Linked DNA regions of Alligator mississippiensis. The protein of the gene in region 1 binds, or shares a complex with, the protein of each later gene. Links are inferred from orthologs where the notes say so. Each region holds a gene or a part of one and is shown on either strand. Other genes may lie near its edges.

The links.
Region 2: ODAD1 (region 1) and CLXN share a complex: the UniProt entries of both Homo sapiens proteins name them as parts of the outer dynein arm-docking complex. The link is inferred for Alligator mississippiensis from reciprocal best matches to the Homo sapiens genes ODAD1 and CLXN.

The regions. Positions count from the first base shown.
Region 1 is NC_081828.1:38,584,360-38,594,556, reverse strand, and holds the start of ODAD1 (outer dynein arm-docking complex subunit 1), read right to left. Parts: upstream 4,437-10,197; 5' UTR 4,320-4,436; intron 3,868-4,319; exon of another isoform or gene 3,678-3,867; intron 3,210-3,677; exon of another isoform or gene 3,002-3,209; intron 2,436-3,001; exon of another isoform or gene 2,423-2,435; coding exon of another isoform or gene 2,356-2,422; intron 1,395-2,355; coding exon of another isoform or gene 1,295-1,394; 5' UTR 395-1,294; coding exon 1-394. UniProt on the Homo sapiens protein: Component of the outer dynein arm-docking complex (ODA-DC) that mediates outer dynein arms (ODA) binding onto the doublet microtubule. Involved in mediating assembly of both ODAs and their axonemal docking complex onto ciliary microtubules.
Region 2 is NC_081828.1:175,510,734-175,521,781, forward strand, and holds the start of CLXN (calaxin), read left to right. Parts: upstream 1-6,585; 5' UTR 6,586-6,631; coding exon 6,632-6,689; intron 6,690-6,796; coding exon 6,797-6,952; intron 6,953-11,048. Other genes in the region: protein FAM133B, read left to right, coding at 1,961-2,047. UniProt on the Homo sapiens protein: Component of the outer dynein arm-docking complex (ODA-DC) that mediates outer dynein arms (ODA) binding onto the doublet microtubule. Seems to regulate the assembly of both ODAs and their axonemal docking complex onto ciliary microtubules.

The DNA.
Region 1 (10,197 bases):
GCAGCTCCTTCAGCAGCCCTTCCTGCTCCTTCTCCAGCCTGTGGATTTCAGCCCTGACCAAAACAAAGGACTGGCCAGCTGCAATGGGTGGCAGGCAGGGGTAGTGGGGCAGGGAGGGACTCCTGGTGATATGAGGGGGTGCCAGATTGTGCCACTGGTGGATGACGAGGTCAAAAGGAGAGGGCCAGGCACGACAGAGAGAAAGAGAAGAGGAAGGGGGACCCAGGGCTAAGACAAGGAGAGGGCACAGTAATGATGCTAGGTGTGTGGCAGCAGTGAACTGGTGGATTGTGCTGAGATCTAGGATGTTGTGACTACCAGGTGCCCAGCAAGGCAAGGAAGTCTCAGTGCACAGTTGTGAGCATGGAGTCCCCATGTGGGCACAGAATGCCATGTGTCAGATACCTGAGTTGACCACCCATGTGGGTGAATGTGAGCTTATTCACAAGGGTGAGATTTGGTGGGCTTTGGATCTTGAGTCCAAGTGATCTCATGCACATGTAATCTTATGAGTGTGATCTCATGTGTGCAGTCTTGTATACAAGTGTGACTTGTGCATCAGAGATCCCACATCAAGCGTGTGGGTGATCTTGTGCAAGTGTGCCTGTGTGTGCGCTTCTGTGTGTATGCAGTCTTACGAGATTGCAAATTGTTGTGCATCTATGGTCTTGTGGCTGAGTGGGTGTGGGGAGCCTTGTGCATATACAATCCTGCATGTGAGTACAAGATCTCAGATGTGATCTTGTGCACAAGTGTGGGATCTTGTGTGTCACAGGCCTGTCACTGAGTGTTCGCAAGATTTTGTGCATGTGACCTCATGCATGAATCTGAGCATGCAGTCTTGTGAGTGCAAGTGCATGGGAGGTTGTGTGCACCTGATGTCCCTATAGTCTTGTGTGTGAAAGATCCTGGTCGTGAGCCTGCAGGTAAGCGTGCAGACTGATGCATGAGACCTGGTGAGGGTATGTGAGCAGCAGATCTTATGTGAAAGATCTCACGTGAGTTTGTGTGACCTTCTGGGTGTGTAAGTGTGATGGTGTGTGTGCGTGTGTGTGTGTGTAAGTGCCTATGTGCAGTGCAGTGCAGTGCAGTGACCCAGCCTGGTGTAGAGGGCTGGTTCCAGGTGAGTTGCTAGGGGAATGTGCGTGATGTCAGTGATATATCAGCATTCTAGGGGGGAGTGTATCTGTGCTGCCCAGCATATGGGAGGCACAGTGTGTGTGTGCATGTGTATGTCCTGTGCACCTGATCCTGCAGGTATGGTACTGGGCCCCTCCCACCCAGGGGTACATACAGCTGCCTGCGGATGGTCTCCTGCGACTCCTGGGCATAGGCACGGCGGTCACCCTCTAGCAGGCGGAACTGGCGTTGTAGCTTGGCCAGCTCGCTCTCAGCTGAAGGGCCAGGAAAAGCCACAGGGAGAGGGGCATCAGAGAAGGGCTCTAGCCACAGTCCTGCCTGCCATGGCCCAGCCCCTCCCACACATCCAAAATGTGGCCCAACTTCCTTGCAGCCCAGCCATATGATGTCATGCCAAGACCCCATGATATCACACCAAGGCCCTGACCTATCATGGCCCAAATCCTCATACACAAGACCCATGATATGCCAAGGCCCACTGTGGCCACATGACATCAAACCAAGGCCATGCCTTCCACATGCTAACCTTCTCACAGGCAACCCACATGACGGCACATTAAAATCCCATGACATTATACAAGGCCCTGTCTGCCACTGCATAACTTCCTCATGCCAAGGCTCCAGGATGTCATGCCAAGATCCCATGAGATCACAACATGGGCCCATGACATCACAAGATGATACCTGCCATGACGCAAACACCTTATGCCCAGACCCCAAGATATTCTATCAAGGTGCTGCCCCCACAACATTCCCTGACTCCTCCCACCAGATATTCTTCCACCCCCAAGCTGTTCCCACCAGGCTCTGGAAGCCCTTCTCCCACTCTGACCACCCCGGGGACCTGGCAAGGGACACAATACCCACCTAAGGGTGCTAAGGAACTGCCCCTGACCCAGGTGATTGCCACAGACCTAGGGGGAGTAGGTGTGGATCCAAGACATAATGCAGGGCAGTCTGTCCTGCTGGGGGTATGGATATGGGGTGCCTTGGTGTGGTGAGGTTATGTACGGGTACCCCATGGCCTATGAGGCAAGGGCTGGCTGCCAAATTAAAATCTTGGGGTTGTCTGGGGCCAGCTGGGAGGAGCATGGAAAGGGGTAGTGGTGTGCAGAGGCCCTCAGGGGCTGAGAATTAAGAGATGGGGCACCATGTCCCTAGGACCAGGATGTGACAGGACAGGGCCCAATAGAGGTCCTGCGGCAAAGCCATTACCAATGCCATCCAGGTCCAAGTCACTGCTGTCAGAGCGGTTGCTCAAGGCAGAGCGGTGCAGCGGCATCTTCTCCTCCTTGCTGATGTTGGGGCACAAAAAAGGGAGACAGAGATTAACTGGGCACTGTGGAGTTATTCCCAGGCTGCTGGTCTCATTAAGGGCAGCTTAACGGGGGTTTATATCAGGGTGCTCCACGCAGCACAGGGCATCACATGTGGGGCAGACAAGCAGAGGCGTCTGGTTTGACACTGGAGCTCTCTACACTGCCTCAGAGGGTGGCTGCTTCTGGGACACAGCACAGTAGGTAAAAACAACCCCTCTCACAAGCCCTGTGCTCCCAGGGAGCTGTGCCCTTGAACTTAATACAGAAGCTAAAGGAGCTGGGCTGGGCTGAGGGAAGGGGAAGCATTGGGGGTGAAACTGGGGCAAAATAACAGCTGGTTCACACGGTGCTTGCAGATCAGGGTGGTAGGAAAGCTGGGGGGCTGTTTTGGGGAGAGGGTGATTTCTGGAGAGGGCTGGGGATTTGGTGTGAGTCAAAGGGGCTAGTTTAGGGAGAAGGTGTCAGCTCAGGGTGGGTATGGGGCAATCCTGTTCTCAGCCCTTCCTAACCCTGCCCTCCCAGGAACCTGGAGCAGGGGATACCTGGGTCTCCTCTGGATGGTCCTTGAAGGCCGCAAGCAGGCACAGGCAGAGGGAGGGGGAGGTCACAGCCTCCAAAGGGTGCAGGGGACTCTGGCACTTGCTCCCTGTCTCTGCATCACTCACTCCTCCAACCCGCCTCCAACTCAGTTGTTAGTTACAGTCTCCAGGAAGTTAAAGTATCTCAGCCTATGGAGGAGCTGGATGGAGCCTGGGGGCGGAGCCAGGCAGGGGAGAATGCATGTGGGCTGAACACCCCTCCCACTACCCCCTCCCTTCCCCCCATAACTCCCCTCCCTTCCCCCCCACCCCAACAACCCTCCAATGCCACTCCCCCCTGGCTGCCCACCCCCCACTCCTCTCCCATGCCTCCATAGTTCCCATCACCCCCTTCAGTCCATCCCTAGCCCCCCCCCCCATGACCTCTCTTCTCCCCTTCCCCACTCCAACCTCATCCATCCATATACCTTCCACCCATGTAACCCTCAGCCTCTACCCCTACTCTCAGTCCCAACCAAATTCCTCCCCCCGAACCTCCTTCAGTCCCACACTCCCATGCCACCCCCTCACTGGACACCCCAGCTCTGGTGCAGATGACGGGGGGTGGGGAGGGGGGACGAGATGGGGACTGCAGTGTGGGGTAAGGGAATGTGCTGCCCAAGCATGGCCATAACCCTACCCTCATCCCAAAGGGCATCGCAGCCAGGTAGGGGCCACTCTGTCCGGACAAGCAGCACCATCACTGCTCAAAGCAGGGAGGAAGGTTCAGTTCAGCTGGCACCACCAGTCATGCCAAGGCCCCATCACAAGTCTGCAGCATTAGACCACTCCAAGGCCCCACCAGATCATGCCAAGGCCCCGTCACATGCCTGCACCATAAAGCCAAGGGTAATGACCACGCATCTGCTCATGCCAAGACCTAATAATGTGCAAACCACTTTGGGTGGCTCCAGTCCCATCACATCCCCAAGCCACAGTAGCTTGTGCCACAACCATTTCAGACCTCTTCACACCAACAGCCCATTAGGTCAGATCACACCACAGCCCCATGGGACCACATCTAGGCAAGATGCCACAGGAAGATGCCAAGTCACAGGACCCCAGCAAGCTGGGGGACACTGCAGCCCCCCTGGGTCAGCACATGGCCCAGAGAGTCACAGCAAGCCCAGCACAGGTCCCCTGGGCCACAGAGTGGCAGTGTCCACCCCAGGACACAGCATGGCCACAGCACAGCAGGTCATGCCAAGGCTATGGCAGGTCACATCAAGACTACAGCAGGTCTTGCCCAGCCCCATGCGGGGGGAGAGGAGGGAAATCTCACCAGCTCAGGCCCGATGAGGCCAACTGTGATCTCCTGTTGGGGAGGGGGAACCTCCATCCCTCCTAATCAGGACCCAGGCGTGACAATACCCATGCGCCAGGCCAACAGCTCCTTCCCCTCCCTTCGCCAAAGCCCCGCCCACGCACAGGCCCCGCCCCTTGCTTCTCCCGCCATTTGCTTCCACTTCCTCCCTTTAGGAGCGCGAATTACGCATGCGCATCACCCCGCCTGGCTGTGCTGGGTAGGAGATGCAGGAGGCTGCTCAGGGATTCCCGGGCGCGGGGAGGGGTCGGCTGGGTGCCCGGGGCGGGACCGGGGGCAGCTCATTTGCATGCAGTGCCCCACGAAGCCTTGTGGGCGGTCTGCAGCCACGTGAGTCAGAGGCCGGACTACCCCGGCACACCACAGTCCGGCCCAGAAAGCTGCCAAACCACAGCCGACCCCCCCCCTTGCCCCCGTCTGTTTGTACCATCACAACAGTTGCCAGGGCACCAGGCATCTGAGTGGGCAGGGGTTTCCGGGGAGCGGAAAGCGATACTTCCTCCCGTCTCCGCCCTGCCCCCCCCCCCGGGCCTGAGCTGGGACTGCTGGATGTGCGGTTTCAGAGGGCCTGCACTACACCGCTCTGCCTGGTGTTGCCAAGTGAGAAGCCCCCTTCCATCAGCCTCCTGCTAGGATGCTAAGAGACTGACCCAGGGGGATAGAACCCGGGCATCCTGGCTCCCCATCTCCCTTGATCTAACAACCCACCAGACCCCACTCCCTGCCCAGAGCTGAGGTGGAACTGGGGTGTCCTGGCTCCCAGCCCTCCCTTGCTGCAACCTCTCCCCAGCCACAAGGAGGAACTTCCTTCTCTTGTATTTCTGCTTCTGGGTGTCTCTAGAGGTGGGAAGTGAGAGCCTCCTCACCCCAGCTGGGTGAGCAGGAGTGGAGATCCCTGTCTGGCTCAAGAGACTCCTGTCCACCCCAGCCCTTCCCATCAGACACTCCACTAAGGTGTCATGTTGTGAGCTTTGGGGTTTCCATTCAAAATGGGAAGTTTTCTTCCTTTGCCATGGTGTGAAACCTCCAGCCATTGGCTTCATAGCACTGGTTTGGGGTAGTTTTTTTGGGGGGGTTGTTTTGAGGAGCAGCTGAATGAGTGTGGAAGGTGGGAAGGATAGTTTGGTTGGAGAGGCACCTGCTCAGACAGGGCCTGAAGTGTTGGGGGGGGCTCTCTTGAGTTTGAGAGCTTGGAGAGTCTTTGGGGGTTCAACAGCTAAGACTAATGCTCTCTTTGCATCCTGGAGGGCAACACTAAAGGGGTGCAATTTGAGGTCTGTGGAAGAGGCAGACATTCTGGGGAGCTCCCTGGAACAGCCAGGATTCTGGGGCTACACTTTGAAGTAGCCCCTTGCCACTTTCAGAAGGCAATATTTTACAGTTAGGGTGGCCAAAATCTGGAACCAACTTCCCAGGGAGGTGGTCTTCGCCCCTACCTTGGGCATATTCAAGAGGAGGTTGGACGACCACCTGTCTGGGGTCTTTTGAACCCAGCATTCATTCCTACCTGTGGCAGGGGGTCAGGCTAGATGATCTGTTCAGGTCCCTCCTGACCCTAGCTACTATGAAACTATGAAGTTGGGGTGACCCAGTGGGATCTGTCCTAGGGTCCACTCTCCTCTTGCCCCCACATTCCCCAGGGTCTCCCCTAGCCCCTCGCAGTTTCCTGTGGCTCCTTTATAAGCTTCTGAAAAAAGCATGATGTAGAGAGTAAATGCCACCAGCCCCTTCCTACCTCCAGTGAACTCCACCCCAACTCCCTGCCCTGGTGCCCTGAGTTTGCTAGAGGAACTGGGGAGACTGTAGGGTAGGGGCTGTCTTTTTAGACTTGTCAAAAATAGGAGAGGAAGTCAGAGGCCCTGGCGGAAACAACTGCTGAAGAGGGATGAGGTGTATTTCTCTAGGGAGAACCCCATACACATACATATGCCAAGTGGTGGAAGGAAGCTGGTGGCTTTGAAACCTGCAAAGGGCAGGGAGGAGCCCCAGATGGGAGTGCAGCTCGCCCTCCCAGCCATCACCTGGAGGTTCCTGCTGGTGCTGGGGAACATAAAGCCATGGCTTGAAGACCACATGTCCTATTTTAAGACCAAGGGAACAACCAACTTGGCCTCCCTGTCAACCAGTCTCAGGTTGAGCTACATCCCCCTAGATAATGATTTTCAACGTTCCAACTTGTCAGCAAATTAAATGCTAAATTACCCACCCCATTCAAGGTTCCAAAGCATTCAGCCAATCAGGGACTGTGTTGTGGTCCAAGCCTCATTCTGCCAGTCAGGGAGGAGGTGCACCCCTCCCCCACAACCTCAACCAACATATATACAATTTCAGTCTATAGTGTTATACCAAAAGGATGCAAAATTATTTGAAGGATTTATAATGTCCAGATTCTCTTTTCATAGATTCATAGATTGTTAGGGGCTGGAAGGGACCTCACAGATCATCGGGTTCAGCACCCCGCTCTAGGCAGGAAGACAACTGAATATTCCCCACTTTTCCAAAGCTCTTCCCCAATCAGTGACAAGTATTCTCAGTCTTGGGGGGTCCTAAACTACCAGCACCCAGTTGTCTTCTGAGTAGGTGGCCAATTACTGTCCCTTCCCAGAACTGGGAGAGATCCCAGGAGTCCTAGCAGTATGGTAATCCACAAGACTACAACCTGCTGCCCCTCAAACTGCAACAGAACCCAGGAGTCCTGGCCCCCAGCCTCTCTGCTCCAGCACACCAGACATTCACTCCCTTTCCCAGAACTGAGATGGAACCCAGGAATCCTAGCTCCCTGCACCCTCTACCAGACCCCACTCCTCCCCCAGAGCTGGGACAAAACCCAGGTACCCCCACTCCAGCACACCAGACCCTCATTCCCTTCCCACAGCTGGAATGGACCTCAGGCTCTCCCCCCTGCTTGTTATCACCAGGCACCTCTGTCCTTCTAGAGCTGGGATAGGACCTAGGAGTTCTGGCTGCCAGCCTTCCTGCTATGACCCACCAGACTTCATTCCTCTCCCAAAATTGGGAAAGGAACCAAGGTCCCAGTCTGGGCCAATCTGTGGGGAAGCCTGCAATGCCAGGGAATCCCGGGCTGGCAGTGCCTGCAATGCAATGGTCTGAGGGGGACAGAGGGTGGAGGGCTAGTGGGGAGACACACAACAAGGGCAGGGACTCAGTGCTCTCCATGTGGTGCCAGCTGGGGAGGGTGTTCTCTCGGGGTGGGGGCCCCATGTTCCAGCCCCCCAGCCAGCAGACACAGGACATCCTCATCTGGCCCCTCCCTCCTGGGGCTGCTGCCAGGGGTGTGGGGGGAGTTACTATTTATTCAGGCACAGACGCAGAGACAGGGGAAGGGAGAAGAGAGGGAGCGACACAGCCTGCGTCTCAGAGGAGTGCCCAGACCTGCCCAGGTACCCTGCTCCCTGCTGCTGCCCCTTGCAGTCCCCAGGGTGGGGGGTGCCTGTCTTTTAGTCTGGGTGGGTATGGGGATATCTGTCTGTCTGTCAGGGAGGGAGGAATGTGCTTTTGCAAAGTCTCAAAGTTTGGCTCTACTTGCACAGGGGGAGGTGCTAAGGGGGATCGTAGGGTGCTGGGTGCTTCCCTCTCCCGCTGCTTTTGGGAAAGGGGAGAGAAAAATCCGTTCCTCCCCCACACACACCCTAAACCACTGCTAGGTGGCTGCTGTCCCCCCCTCACCGTCTGGGAGGCATCTGTACCTCCATAAAGCCACAGCTGGTGCCAGCACAAAGAGAGCACCCCCACTTCTCAGTGCAGAGACCCAAACCCACAGCACAGAGCATAGCACACCCCCCAGCAGAGACACTGCTCCCACCCCAGCTCAGAGAGCCAGCCCCAGCTTATCCCTGCCCTGTCCAAACCCTGCCCTCCCTGCCACAATTACAGCCCTTGGGCAGAACAACTGGAAATGTGGACACCATACACGTGGCCAGAGACGGGCACCCCCTAGAAGGGACAGGTCCCTGTCCCATCCCCACCCCCTCAGCCAGACAGTGCCCCCCACCCCCCAAGTAGATGGGGCTGGAGCCCCCCCTGGAGGGAGTCAGTTTGCCCCATCCTGAAGCCCACCCGCCCAGCTCTGTGGAATCAATGGCTGGTTGTTTTCCCTTTCAAAGAAGCCTTGGTTTGCAGCAGGAAAAGTCTTGTGGCCAAACTGCTGAGGGCCAGGCGCCAGGCAGCTTCCTCATGGTACAGGGCTGGGTGGGGACCTGGGCTCAGGCCTGGTGCCTGGGAGGGCTCAGGCTGCTGTGCTAGGGGAGCTGGGAGGAGGTACTGTGGGGTAGGGAAAAGGGCAGGGGATGCTTAGAGGTGCCAAGCTGTTGAGAAGGGGGGCACTGTGCTTTGGGGAGTGGGTAGAGGATGCTAGGGATGCCAGGTTGCAGGCAGCATAGTAGGGGGGTTGTGGGGGCATCCTGCTGAGGGAAGAAATCCAACAGGGGGTACCTCCCATCTCAAGTACTGGTCCCTGGGCAATGGTAGGGATCACCGTGTCCTGGATCCCTTATCCTATTGGACAATATCCCACCTCTCTGATCTCCGAAGATCCCCTGTTCTTTCTACAGAGACTAGGGAAAGAACCCTGGTGTCCTGGTCTAATCCAAGCCAATGGCCCTTGGAGTCCTTCAGTCCTCCTTGCAGATTCAGCTGGAGGCAGGATTGGGTCTAGTTTCTGTTCTCAGATCCTTCTCTTGCCCTTTATAAAGTGCAGTGCTGCACCCCAGAAGTGGCTGCATCTCAGCATTGGGGAAAAAGTTCCCTATAAACACAGCCCCCAATACACCCTGACCCAGAGATGGCTATATCTCTGGCTCTGGTCTGTTTTCCCCTGCCCCCTCTGTATTAAGTGAGGATCTTCCCCATGTGCCTCCAAATCCCTGCTGATTAGAAATGCCATCCACCCGTGGCCAGGGCCTATTTACTGTGAATTAGATGGGCCCATCCACCCAGCACCCCACCCCAGGACAGCCCCACAGGTCCATCCAGCCCTATCTTCTGCCCCCAAGACATTTCTTCTCAGATAGAGCAGAGTGTGCTGAAAGTCAGGACACCTGGATTCCATCCCAGGTCTGGGAGAGGAGTGAAGCCTGGTAGGTTAGAGGGGAGATGGGAGCCAAGATTCATGGGTTTGATTCCCCTGGTCTAGAAGAGGAGTGAAGTCTGGTGGACTGGAGTGCAAGTAGGGGCTAGGACCAGGACTCCTGAGTTCTATCCCAGGTCCAGGAGAAGAGGTGGGCAGTCAAGACACCTGGGTCTTATCCTAGTCTTTTCCCTGCTGCCTCTTGGGCCTGTTCAGTTCCTAGTGCTGCCTGTGCCTCAAGTTTCTCCATTTGTCCCCACCCCTATGCCGTGCAGGAAACTGCACATTCAGATCAACTAATCCTGCTTTAGTCATACTGTGGAGTAGGGAATGGGGGGAGATTATGTGGGGGCAGTAGCAGTGATCCTGGCCTCTGTGTGGAGGGAAAGCAAGGCAGCAGGGGTAGAGACAGGAGGCCTCCACTACCATCAGGCCCACGGGCTGTGCTCACATGACAGTCACATCTGGAACTCATTAGCATGGCAGGACAGCGAGAAGGGTGGGTGAGGAGCTGGGAGTGTCCCTCCCTTCTCCACGTCACAGCAGCCTGGTTCCCTCCTTGGGTCAGGGCTGGATTGTGTGGACCTGGAGGGAGGCTCACAGTCTGGGGCTGGGGGGAACAGGGAACCAGGTGCAGGAGTGGGAGCTGGGGGCATCTGGGAAGCAGGGCTGGGTCCCTGCTTAAGGGGGGAGGAGAGGCCCTGCTGAACCCTGCCTAAGGGACAGGGTAAAGGAGTAGGGGTCGTGGGG
Region 2 (11,048 bases), about 140 Mb from region 1:
CCTGCCAGGGTGGGGCAGGACCAGGAGGCAGGGGGATCCCAGGACGGCTCCAGCTGCTGCGCACCACTTGTTCGGTGGCAGTGCAGTGGCTCTGCCCTGCCCCAGCTGGGTGAGCAGCAGGAGGACACAGCTGGCCCAGAGCACAGCCCCAGCCCTGCCTGCACCACACAGATCTGGGGCCATATGCCCCCCCAAGCCCTCCCAGACGGGCAACACACAGTGGCAGGAGCCATCTCACCCCCTCCCTGTGCGCCCCCCCCCCCCCCACTAGGGCAGCCCCTATCCCAGCCCCAATCCCTCTTTCTCTGTGGGAGCATTGATCTGCCCCACCCACGCCTCACCACAACAGACTTACCAGCTGGAGGCAGCTGTGTCCAGTATCGTAAAGTCAAAACCCTGGGGGGACCTTGAAACTGTTGTAATTTACAACGGTCGTAGGTGCCATTTGTCATAACTCAAACAGTCATAAGTCTAGGACTGCCTGTATAGCATACATTAGGTTACTATCATAGATTCATAGATGCTAGGGTCGGAAGGGACCTCAATAGATCGAGTCCAACCCCCAAGATATTGAAGAGTATCGGTCCAAGGACCGAGCCCTGCGGGACTCCACTGCCCACACTCTTCTGGGTCGATACCGACCCATCCACTACGACTCTCTAGGTGCAACCCTCTAGCCAATTTGCCACCCACTGGACTGTGTAGTCATCTAAGTCACAGCCTCTTAACTTGTTTACCAGTATGGTGTGGGATACCGTATCGAAGGCCTTCCTGAAGTCTAAGTATACAACATCAACCCCTACTCCTGCGTCCAGGCATTTTATAACCTGGTCATAAAAAGAGATTAGATTAGTCAGGCATGATCTACCTGCTACTAACCCGTGCTGGTTTCCACTCAGCATAATTTGTCCTGCCGGGCTCTCACAAATGTGAGCCTTGATAATTTTTTTTAAGACTTTGCCTAGGATGGAGGTGAGACTGATTGGCCTATAGTTGCCTGGGTCCTCCTTCCTCCCCTTCTTGAAAATGGGGACCACATTGGCCCTTTTCCAGTCCTCCGGGACCTGGCCCATGCGCCACGAATGTTCAAATATTACCACCAGTGGCTGTGCAATGACGTCAGCCAGTGCCTTCAGTACCCTCGGATGGAGCTCATCCGGGCCTGCCGACTTAAAGGCAACCAGTTCCTCCAAGTGACTCTGCACCATCTCAGGGTCTACGCATGGCAGTCTGGTATCCGTAAGCTATGTATCAATGTAGCTTAACATATTCATCGTTCTTATTGCATAACATAGGACCTGGTCTTGTATGCCTCACTCAGGCAGAATTTCATTAGGAATTCTTCCTAAGTACAGGAGGATTGTTCACTTAACGTTGTATATTATGGTGCTGAGAACACTAACATCAGGGTCTGACCCTGCTGCCTTTGCTTTAGCAACTGTGTTTTTTTTGTCTGAGTTTGTTACCACAAATTAAGGTGCAAATATTGGAAGTCAAAACCTAATACAGTTTAACTGAGTTTGTCATAAACAGAAAATCAGCTGAAATGTAATTAATGAATAAATAGATAATTGTGGTAACATAGGGCTTCTTTTCCACTCTCGCATATGTGAGATGCCATTGTTTCTCAAGTGGTTAGTTTATTGATTTCTCAAATTCATGAAGCATTACTGTGACTTACAAGATAAGGAAGCAAATGGTACTGGCTATTTCACACCTCTTGGGAAATCAGAATGAGCTAAATTTGAAAACAATAATATTCCATCTTTTTGTAATGCTTTGCATTGTCTTTTCCTGCTTTGTAATGTTATTGTATCATTGATATTTAGATTTTTATAGTAATCTTATTGTAAATGATTTTGTATTAAACTCCATAAATGCACCTGCACCTCTTCATTACATTATTTTTTAAATTGACTTTAACTCATAAAATAACTTCCATTATTTAACTGTTTTTAAGGATAAAATGAAAAAGAGAAAGAAGCACAAGAAACATGGTAAAAAGAAGAAAAAGAAGACTGCTGGTTCAAATTCAGATTCTGAATAACATTTAGAAGTACAAGAATACCCTTTCAACAAAAGTGCAATGACTAAAGGAAACTTCAACTGTGAAATTATAGCAAACTTTACCAAACTGCATGAATTTTCCTGTGTTTTAGAAATACTCCTAATCTCTCAATAGCCGGACAGATGCTGCTGCACCAGAAAAGAACATTGTTATTGCCTGCTGCTTAATACATGGGGTACAGCATTTTTTTAATTCCAGTAGCCAGCGCTAGATATTTGAAATCATAAAAGATGATGGTTCAGCTGATATGTAAAATATTGGAAAATAAGTGAAACTTTTTAGATACAAAAAGTAGTATTTTAAACTCTAATTTTTAAACCAGCAGAAGCATAATCCAGGATTCATCCTGAAGATGAATTTAATTCAATGGAGCTGTTGAAAGTTAGTGACTGATGTTTCTTTTGAAATGGGAATATAATGGTAACATTCTTAAACATGTTACTTTTGTAGAAATGTTTACTGTACTTCTGTCCTTTTACTTTTTTATGTTGAGGGGGGAGCTACTATTTTGACTAGTTGAATAGGGTGCCTTTGATCTTTCTAAATCCCAGCTATTTTAATCAGTACAGCAACTATGCTTCCTCGGGAGGTCAGAACTACTGTCAGCAAGCTGTTCCTGAATAAGCAATTCTGGGCTTCTAGCATGTGCTTCGGCATTAAGCAAGAGCAGTGACATTTTGCAGCATAACTAACATGCAAAAATCAAGGAATTTACCTCCACTTTGAATTATGCTGAATACTGTGTTACTAAATATGCATTACATCATTTAAAGTAATTTTGAATTTTGTTGAATATCTTTGGCAAACACTGGTAGTTTTTTTTCTTTTTGCCTTGCCATTAAGATACTTAGAATTATTTTGCATGTTTGTACCATTTTTTTTTAAATTAACAATATAGAGGTATTCAGTTATAACCAGTGATTATTTTTTTATGAATTTGTTCCAGGTGCAGAGTTTCATGTATGTATTTACTTATTCTTATAGTTCATTGTTGTGTTTGAGTGCACACTTGCTGAAAATTATTTAGCATGTAAAAAGCAGGGTTTTGATATTTAAACAGCTTCATATTGAAGCTGATTTTACTCTAGGCAAGTTCAGTGACAGACCTGTTATGCAGCTGTGTCTTGTTATATACAACTACTGCCAGATTCTCAGTAAAGATACCATTTAAAAATTTTGTCTTTATATTTTTGTGCTGCAGAATTGTAGGGTATTAACATAAATTGTCTAGGCTAATTTACTTGCATTAGCAGCTATTTCATAAACAAATAGAAAAATGTTGATAAAATAGCAAATACACACTCAAAATCCAAAAGGAATCCTTAGGTTTTCTTCTTATAGATGAAGTTCTTTCTCTCTTTCAGTGAAGTCCCTATTGCTGGTTCTGTTCTTGCCTTTCAAGAGTAGGAAAAAATGTGAATAATGATCCACATATTACCCTAAGTACAAATGGTATGTACTAACCATGAAAAGTTTAATACTTTAAAGCCAAACATTTAATTACCACAACATTTTAATATCTCTTGTTAAATGATTAATAATTTGCAATTCATAAACAAAAAGTGGTGAGGGAGACTGGGAAGGAGTAATATTTTACTAGTGTTCTGTCAAATACATTTCTCTTCAAGCAGGTGATTGAAATGTTCTGGTTTTGTCTTAAAATGCAGACTATCACTGTTAATAATGTCTTAGAAATAAAATTATAGTCAGCTAGGTTTGAAAACTGACAATTTCTACAACTATTAGGTCATTATTGGGAAAGAATTCAAAGAATGGTAGAATGATCATTTTATTTCTCTTTTTTTTAAATCACTGGTTTAAATCAGCTTTGAGGCTTTGAAAAACTATTGTGAAAATTGTGCTATTACAACTTTGAATTAATTACATTATAAATACTGCAAATGGAAAGATCATATTTGAATTTTACACAACTGCTAGAGGCAAAAAATATGTATCATTGAAAACAAGTGTGCAGATGCTACCAACACATAAGCAAATACATAATGTTACTCATACAAATAGTCTCATTTACTTAAGCTTCCTAGACGTGTGCTTTCAATACAGCATGGACAAAAATGTTTGCAGCATCAAGGTCTTATATTGTATATATTAATTAAAAAAATTTAGTGGCATAAAATTGTTGTCACTTCAAAACCAAATTGCTTTAGTATTTAACACTGAAAAACTCTGATTTTTTTTTTGTCCATAAATAAATCTATTGTGAGCTACATGCGCACACACGGATATGTGTGTATGTGTACAATAATATGTGTGTGTATTAAAATATCCTCCCCGCCTCCCAAAATATAGGACCTAACATTTGGTTACTAAGAGTGAAATTTCTGATTTCTGTCTCATCTTTGCTCATTACATCAGGAGGGTCACGTTTGCAAAAACAGCCAAGACTACTTTTCTTTATTAATTTTGTGCTCAATTTTTGTTCTTCTCCCAGCCAGAATGCTAATGAGGCCAGCATAGATGAACATTTTAACTGAATTTTTAGCAGATAAAAAAAAATCTGAAATTGTACTAGAAATTAGAAAAATAATTTAAGGGTCAAGACAAAAAGACTATAGAATAAAAGAAAGTAAAATGTTATGCTTGTTTAAAATATTTTAAGTGTGTTTTTTATCCAACTTGCTTCAAGAAGTAATAAGGTAGTAATTTATAAAGTATTTTAATAAATGGCTAGCTTTATGGGTTTCCAAAAATACTCTTAGAATTTTGAAACTAAATTATTGCCTTTGCTCAGTTTTGTCCTTTTACATGTGATAAAGATGTGTTTTGTTCTGAACACGAATCTGTTGCCTTCTCATACACAGTAGCATTCTTGATGGCTCATTTCTAAAAAGACTCAGAGATCTCAACACTGGTTGAATCAGTACGTATTAAAAGTTCCTTATCCATTAAAGTAATTCCTTTTAAGTGTGGCTCTGGTAACAGTATTTTCAGTTAATGTATGCTGTTCCTGCTGTCTACCTGTGAAACAACATGAGGAATAAGTTCGTTATGCCCTGCATATTTTTTTTTCTTTGGAAAGAGGTATGGTTCGTCATGTTTAGGCCAAAAGGCAGAGCAGGGTCGTACTTTATATATCAGGGATTCTCAACCTGGGTGCCACAATACTCTGAGGTGCTGTGGAGTCCTTTTTAAGGGTGCTGTGAGGTGTCATGTAACATTAGTACCATTAGGTGTGCAAACATGACTCAAAATAAACCAAGAGATTTCAAAAATAAATCCATAGCGTCAAAAACCTTCTTAGCTGTTGTGGTCTTTCTGAGTACTTTGCAACAGAAAAATTGTTCTATTTTTCTGTAGTCAAAATAAGTGAAAATGAAGAGGTGGCATTTTTCAAGGAGGGGCTTAACGAGGGATGCATTGAGTCTAAAAAGGTCAAACCACTACTGTTATACGCTAACTTGTTCAGAGAGGTAGAAGTTTTTGTAGGTTACAGCCTACTTGGTAATTACTAGGTAAGTTAAGCGTATACATTTAAACAGGTTAAATGATTTTGTGACATCCCTGTGTGCCTAAACCAGCTTTCCCTTGTGTGTTCTTGGATGCTAAAATAAAAATGACCTGACTATCAGAGATGCTGAATACCTGTGTAAACACATCACCTGCTACAAGAAGTTGTAAGTGTACAGACTTCTGAAAATGTATATGGGTATTTTATATACCAAACCCTAGAGTGAAGAACTTCAAATCTGTAAGCTAACCAAGACATGATGAGAGTAGTCAGTGTGTCATATATACACCGTGATTCTGCATTTTGAATGTGGGTGCCTGCCTTAGCAGAAGTCCCAGGCTATTACATTTTGAGAGTGTAGAATATTCTTTAAACAGCCTAGTCATACTGTAATACAAGTAGGAATGACAAAAAGAGGAGGTGGATGCTAGTAGTTGATCTTAGAAAGTGCTAGGCTGCTCTTTTACTCCTGCTCCGTACTGAACTCCTTCGTTTTGGAAGAACTAGCGGGCTTGTGCCTGTTGGGTTGCCACCGCTGCTTGCCTCCTACTCCGGTTTGTGCCATATTTCAGCCAGAACCTTGATCGTGGCAAAGTATTTTATTCTCGAGCAGGCCGAGCTTGGTTGAGTTGGAGGTATTAAACCTGAAGCAAGGACTTGTGAGCTACAGCTACTAATTTGCGGTGAAAACCTGGAAGACGAGAAGGGTAAGTACAGGCAAGTAACTGTCTGCAGCGGTAAATGAAGCCCGGGACTTGTCGTCGACCCCCCTTTGCAGGGCTTAGACTGGCGCCGGGGGTTGTCCCGGCTCGGATGTGTTCGGACTGTGCTGGCCGGGGCGTGGGGCACAGGGACGCGCAAAAGCGGGGCAGGGGGTGTTGAGGCTCGATAGGCCCCGAGACTCGTCCGGAACCGGCGGGAGTCCGGCTGTGTCCACCTGCCCGCGGGGCCAAACTGCGCATGCTCAAGCTTCCGGCTATTCAGCCACGTGGCCTCGGGCCCCTGCGCTTCTTGCTCGCTGATTGGCTGGTGCCATTCCCGTTGCTGCGGTAACCGCGCGGCGTCCCGCAGCAGCTGCCGGGCCCGGCGGCGCCATGAACAGGAAGAAGCTGCAGAAGCAGGCGGAGGCGCTGAACCGCAGCGCTAGGCATTGTGAGTCCCGTCCCCCGCCCCCTCCCCCTCCCAAGGGCCGCGGGGGCGGGGGCGCGTGGCTTTCCCCGGCCAGGCCGTGACCCGTGCCGCGCTGTGCCCGTGCGCAGTCCGTCGGCCCGAGGTGGAGTGTCTCATCCGGCTCTTCCACACGCTGGTGCCGGAGGCTGGCGAGCGCCGCGGCGCCGCGGGGCTGGACCGCAACGCCTTCCGCAGCGTCCTGCACCTCACCTTCGGCATGACCGACGACATGATCATGGACCGAGGTGAGGCCGCGCCCCAAGGGGGATAGGGTAGGCAGTCCCCGCCCCCGCGCCGGGCGCCCCAGCCAGCAGGTGATTTCCGGGCCGCAGCATCGGCCCGCCCCCCGACAGGGAGCCTAGGCCGGGTCCCCCCCGCCGCAGAGGCGCTGCGGGGATTCCGCTCCAGCGGCTCGAGCACGTGGGGAAACTTCAGGGTTGGGCCCCAGGGCTGCTCTGCACCAGGCGGCCTCCCTTTGTCCAGCGAGGTGGCTGGCTGAGCCGCTTCACTAGGCCACCTTGGAGAGCCTGCGGGCCAGAAAAGCTTCAGAACTGTGGTGTGTGATGCAGTCACTTAAAGCCTCTGGAGATTTCCCAGGTTGGCCTCTTCTTCTTCAGGTGTGCTCCTGCAAAAGCACTGGCTCCTGTCACCAAAGAGCTTGGATGTTTGTAGCTGAAAATGGAAAGAAGCTGCATGTAAACGGTTCCTGTAGTGGCCCAAGGATGCTGCAAATATGATTTTGGCTGGGAGGAGGTGCGGTGGTGGCAGCAGTATACGCAGCTGGAAATGTTTCTTATGACATAGGCTGCATAGTGACAAAGTGTTATAATAGTCTTTCTAGATGTCAGTTTACTGCCCTTTAAAAAGCTATGTCAGCTCTAAGGATGGCCACTTTCCTCACACAAAAGAGATGTGGAAAGGATCATGTGCAGGCGCCGTCCTACAGAAAACAGTTCATCAGAGGAAGGTGCTGAGCAGATGCTGCTGTGTTGACAATGATTCCCACCACTTCCCTAAGGAAACAGTTGATAAATGGAGTGATCGTGCTTTCTCCAGTGCTGACAGAGGTATTAGTAGAAAAGAGAGTGGTAGTGAGCTGTGTTAGTCTAAAGTCAAGCAGAAGTCAGGGTAGAGGTGCACCTTAAACTAATTAAATTGGAGATGGATAAGCATCCCTGAGCCTAAACTTCATCTGATGAAGTAACCTTAGGTCCACAAAAGGATCTTTTAATCTATTAGTAGAAAAGGCCGCTGTTGTCTCTGTAGTGGGACATGATATACACTTGTAAACAAACGTTGCTGCCCTTAGTCTTCAGCTCTGACATGCTGGAGACAGGCTGTTTGGCACTGCAGTGTCCGAACAGCTCTTCTGGAGCAGGGGTACTGAGAGCAGACTGATATGGCAGTCTTGCTGAAACAAGTTAGGTTTCTATCCTTGACAGAGAGGAGTGAAGGATAAGTGTTAATGCACTAAAGTTTACTTTCTTCCCCAAACCGTAGTGTTGAGGGTTTGGCTGCTTGGGAGGGGAGCTACTGTACTGGTATATAGGTAGAGTGACCATAGGTCCCACTTTGGCCAGGACACTCCAGGATTGTGTAGCTTGGTCCCAGATGGTTGGCCAGAAGTTCCAGGCCAGAGTCCAGCAGGGAAGTGAAGCAGCATGGTGAGCCAAGGCAGGTGGCTAGACAGCAGCAGCAGTATGGTCACCTCACATATAGGGGTTTATAGCAGGGTACTGAAGCAGCTTGAGCCTGGCGCTTCCCAACACCAAGTCACTAAGGGGAGATTTCCAAGGAGGGGGTGCCAACCTGGATCTAACTCTTCTCATCACACGGAAGTGCTAGGGAGAAGTTTCAGAGGAGAATAAAGTTGTAAAGGCAAAATTAATAGACTCTTAATTGTAGAGAGCTTTACTTTATAGCCAAAGTCATATTTTCATGTAATTTGTGTGTTTTATTTTAATTTTACTGCAACATAACAAGGGTGATGCTGTTGCTGTGACTATCTTGCAAGTAATTTTGAAGTGTTAATTAGTAAAATGAAAAGCAAAATAGAAATGCTTCATACTATCAAGGACTGCACTAATTGAAAAGTTACAAACAGCAGCTTGTTACTAGTTTGCACATGAAAGAAATACTGGTTTATGCAAGACGGGAAAGTTGCCAAAACGTACACTTGAAGAAAAAAAAGAAAAGGAAAAAAAGGTGAGCTAGATTTCCTGATTGATGTTCTCCCCTGCAGCCTAAAACAAACCATTCTAATTGAAGTCTTTGTATGCCTTTAATGCTGGCTCTTCCTTTTAGGCTGTTATGGAATATGTGATGCTTTACTAGAGTGCTGTCAAGCCAGCAAAATAATGTGTCAGATAGCAAGATAAAATGGCTATATCAGCAGGGAAGATCTAGATTTATCTTATTTGATATATTCAGGATTTTAAATCTCTTAACTAGGCCTTTGGATGACTGCCACGTATGAGCATGTAAGTTATCACTAGGCAGGCAAGCTGGGAACTTAAAATTCATCAGCTATTCTGCAGTAACAGTTTAAGCATACTCTGGTTTCATTAAATAAGCTGCTTTGCATTCACTGGGCACGTCCACACATGCAAGCACGTGCACTTGCAGCTCAAATAGAAGCAGTGCAAATTTGAGCCAGGGCTTTTTGCTTCAGCACACGTGCTGACATGCACTTTGGTGTGGAGCAAAATAACCCTGCCTGGCTCCTCCCAGATCTGCAGCCAGGGGGAGCTAGAGCCTGGGGCCAGCACCTGTGCTGTCCCCAGCAGTAAAGAAAGCTGCCCTAGCAGAAACCTGGCCCCAGCAATATATAAAGCCGCCCTGGCAAGTAGCTCAGGGCTACTCGCTGTCAGGAGCTTCTGGGGCCCAGCCAAATTGGTACCTGGAGACACTGCCCCTTGTGCCAGCTGGACTGCTGAAGCAGCCCTGAGAGTTCCCTGCACCTTTACCCACTGCAGGGGTCTAGCAGTGGGGGCTGCTGCCTGGCTGTGACCTGCTGCGTACCTGCCAGACCTGGATAGGGACTGCACAGCCAGTAGAGGCATCTGCCCCTCTGGGCTAGCTGCCAGTGGACTGTGGTTGCAGGGTTGGCCTCTGTACGGCACTACTGCCCTGTGTGCCCCTTGCCCAGCTATCTGGGCAGCTATCGCTCGGAAGATGTTCCAGGTGTGGTGGCCTGCTTTGAACTGTCAAAGCATGTCCTCCTGGCCCCATTTGTCCAGGAGGTCAGCCACAGCCAGCTGGGTCCAAGGTGCCAGCTCTGAGAAAGTGCCAGGACCCTGCTGGCCTCCCTAGCAGGAATTCTGGTGTTTCCTACTGGAAAACTGAAAAATCCCTGATAAACAAAATCCAAAAGTCACTCTGTAAAATACCCCCAAATCCACGTTCCTCCACAAGTAAAACAAAAGACCACTATAAAGAGAGAGAGAGAGAGCAAGACAGAGACAATGATCAGTTGGACAATGTTTTATTGATAGATCTACAGTGGTAAAGCAAGTCTCTTATCATAATAATAAAGTGAACTCTAAATACAGATTTCATGAATACACGTTTTGCTGCACTCCCACAAGGGGTCCAGCCCCAAACAAGTGGTTCAGCCCCCTAAAGGGGGGTTCAGCCCCCACACAAGGGGTACGCCCCCCAATGGGGCCAAATGGCCCCCCGCAGAGGCTATCACACCCCTGCAAGGCCCACATGCCCCCCCAACTGCTGCCCCCCTCAGCCCCATCCTGCACCAGTTGCTGCAGCCCCCCCAATGGCTGCCCCACCCAGCTCCACCCCCCCCAGACCTCCCAATGGCTTTCCCAGCCCCCAATTTGCACCCCCAGGCCCCCATGGCTAACCCTACAACCCCAGGCACCATCACAAAACCCCCCAAAAAAAGCCTCTGCTTACCTTTGAAGCGGGGGGGGGGGTGCGCCAGGGTCTCCTGGCAGAGTTCCCCCCGATGCAGTACCAGGACAGTGGGGGGGGCAGCAGGGCCCGGACTTGGGCCGCTGGGGCTGTCACCCTGCCCCGCACTGTGTGGGCGGGGCCTCAGGCAGCCAGATGGCAGCTGAACTGCTGGTAAGTGCCGGGTTTTGTTGTTGTTGTTTTGTTTTGTTTTTTTAAGCTATGGGGGGGGAGCAGGGATGGTGGGGCTTGGGAGGATGGGGTTGGCCAGGGCAGGGGTCGGGGGTCTCAGGGGGGAGGGACTGGTGGTGGGAGGGGCCAGCCCTGGAAGGGGTCTGGGGTCTTGGGGGGCTGGCGGGTGGAGGGGTCGGCCCCAGCAGGGGTCGGGGGTCTCCAGGGGGCTGGCGGGGGAGGGGCCAGCCTCGCCAGGGG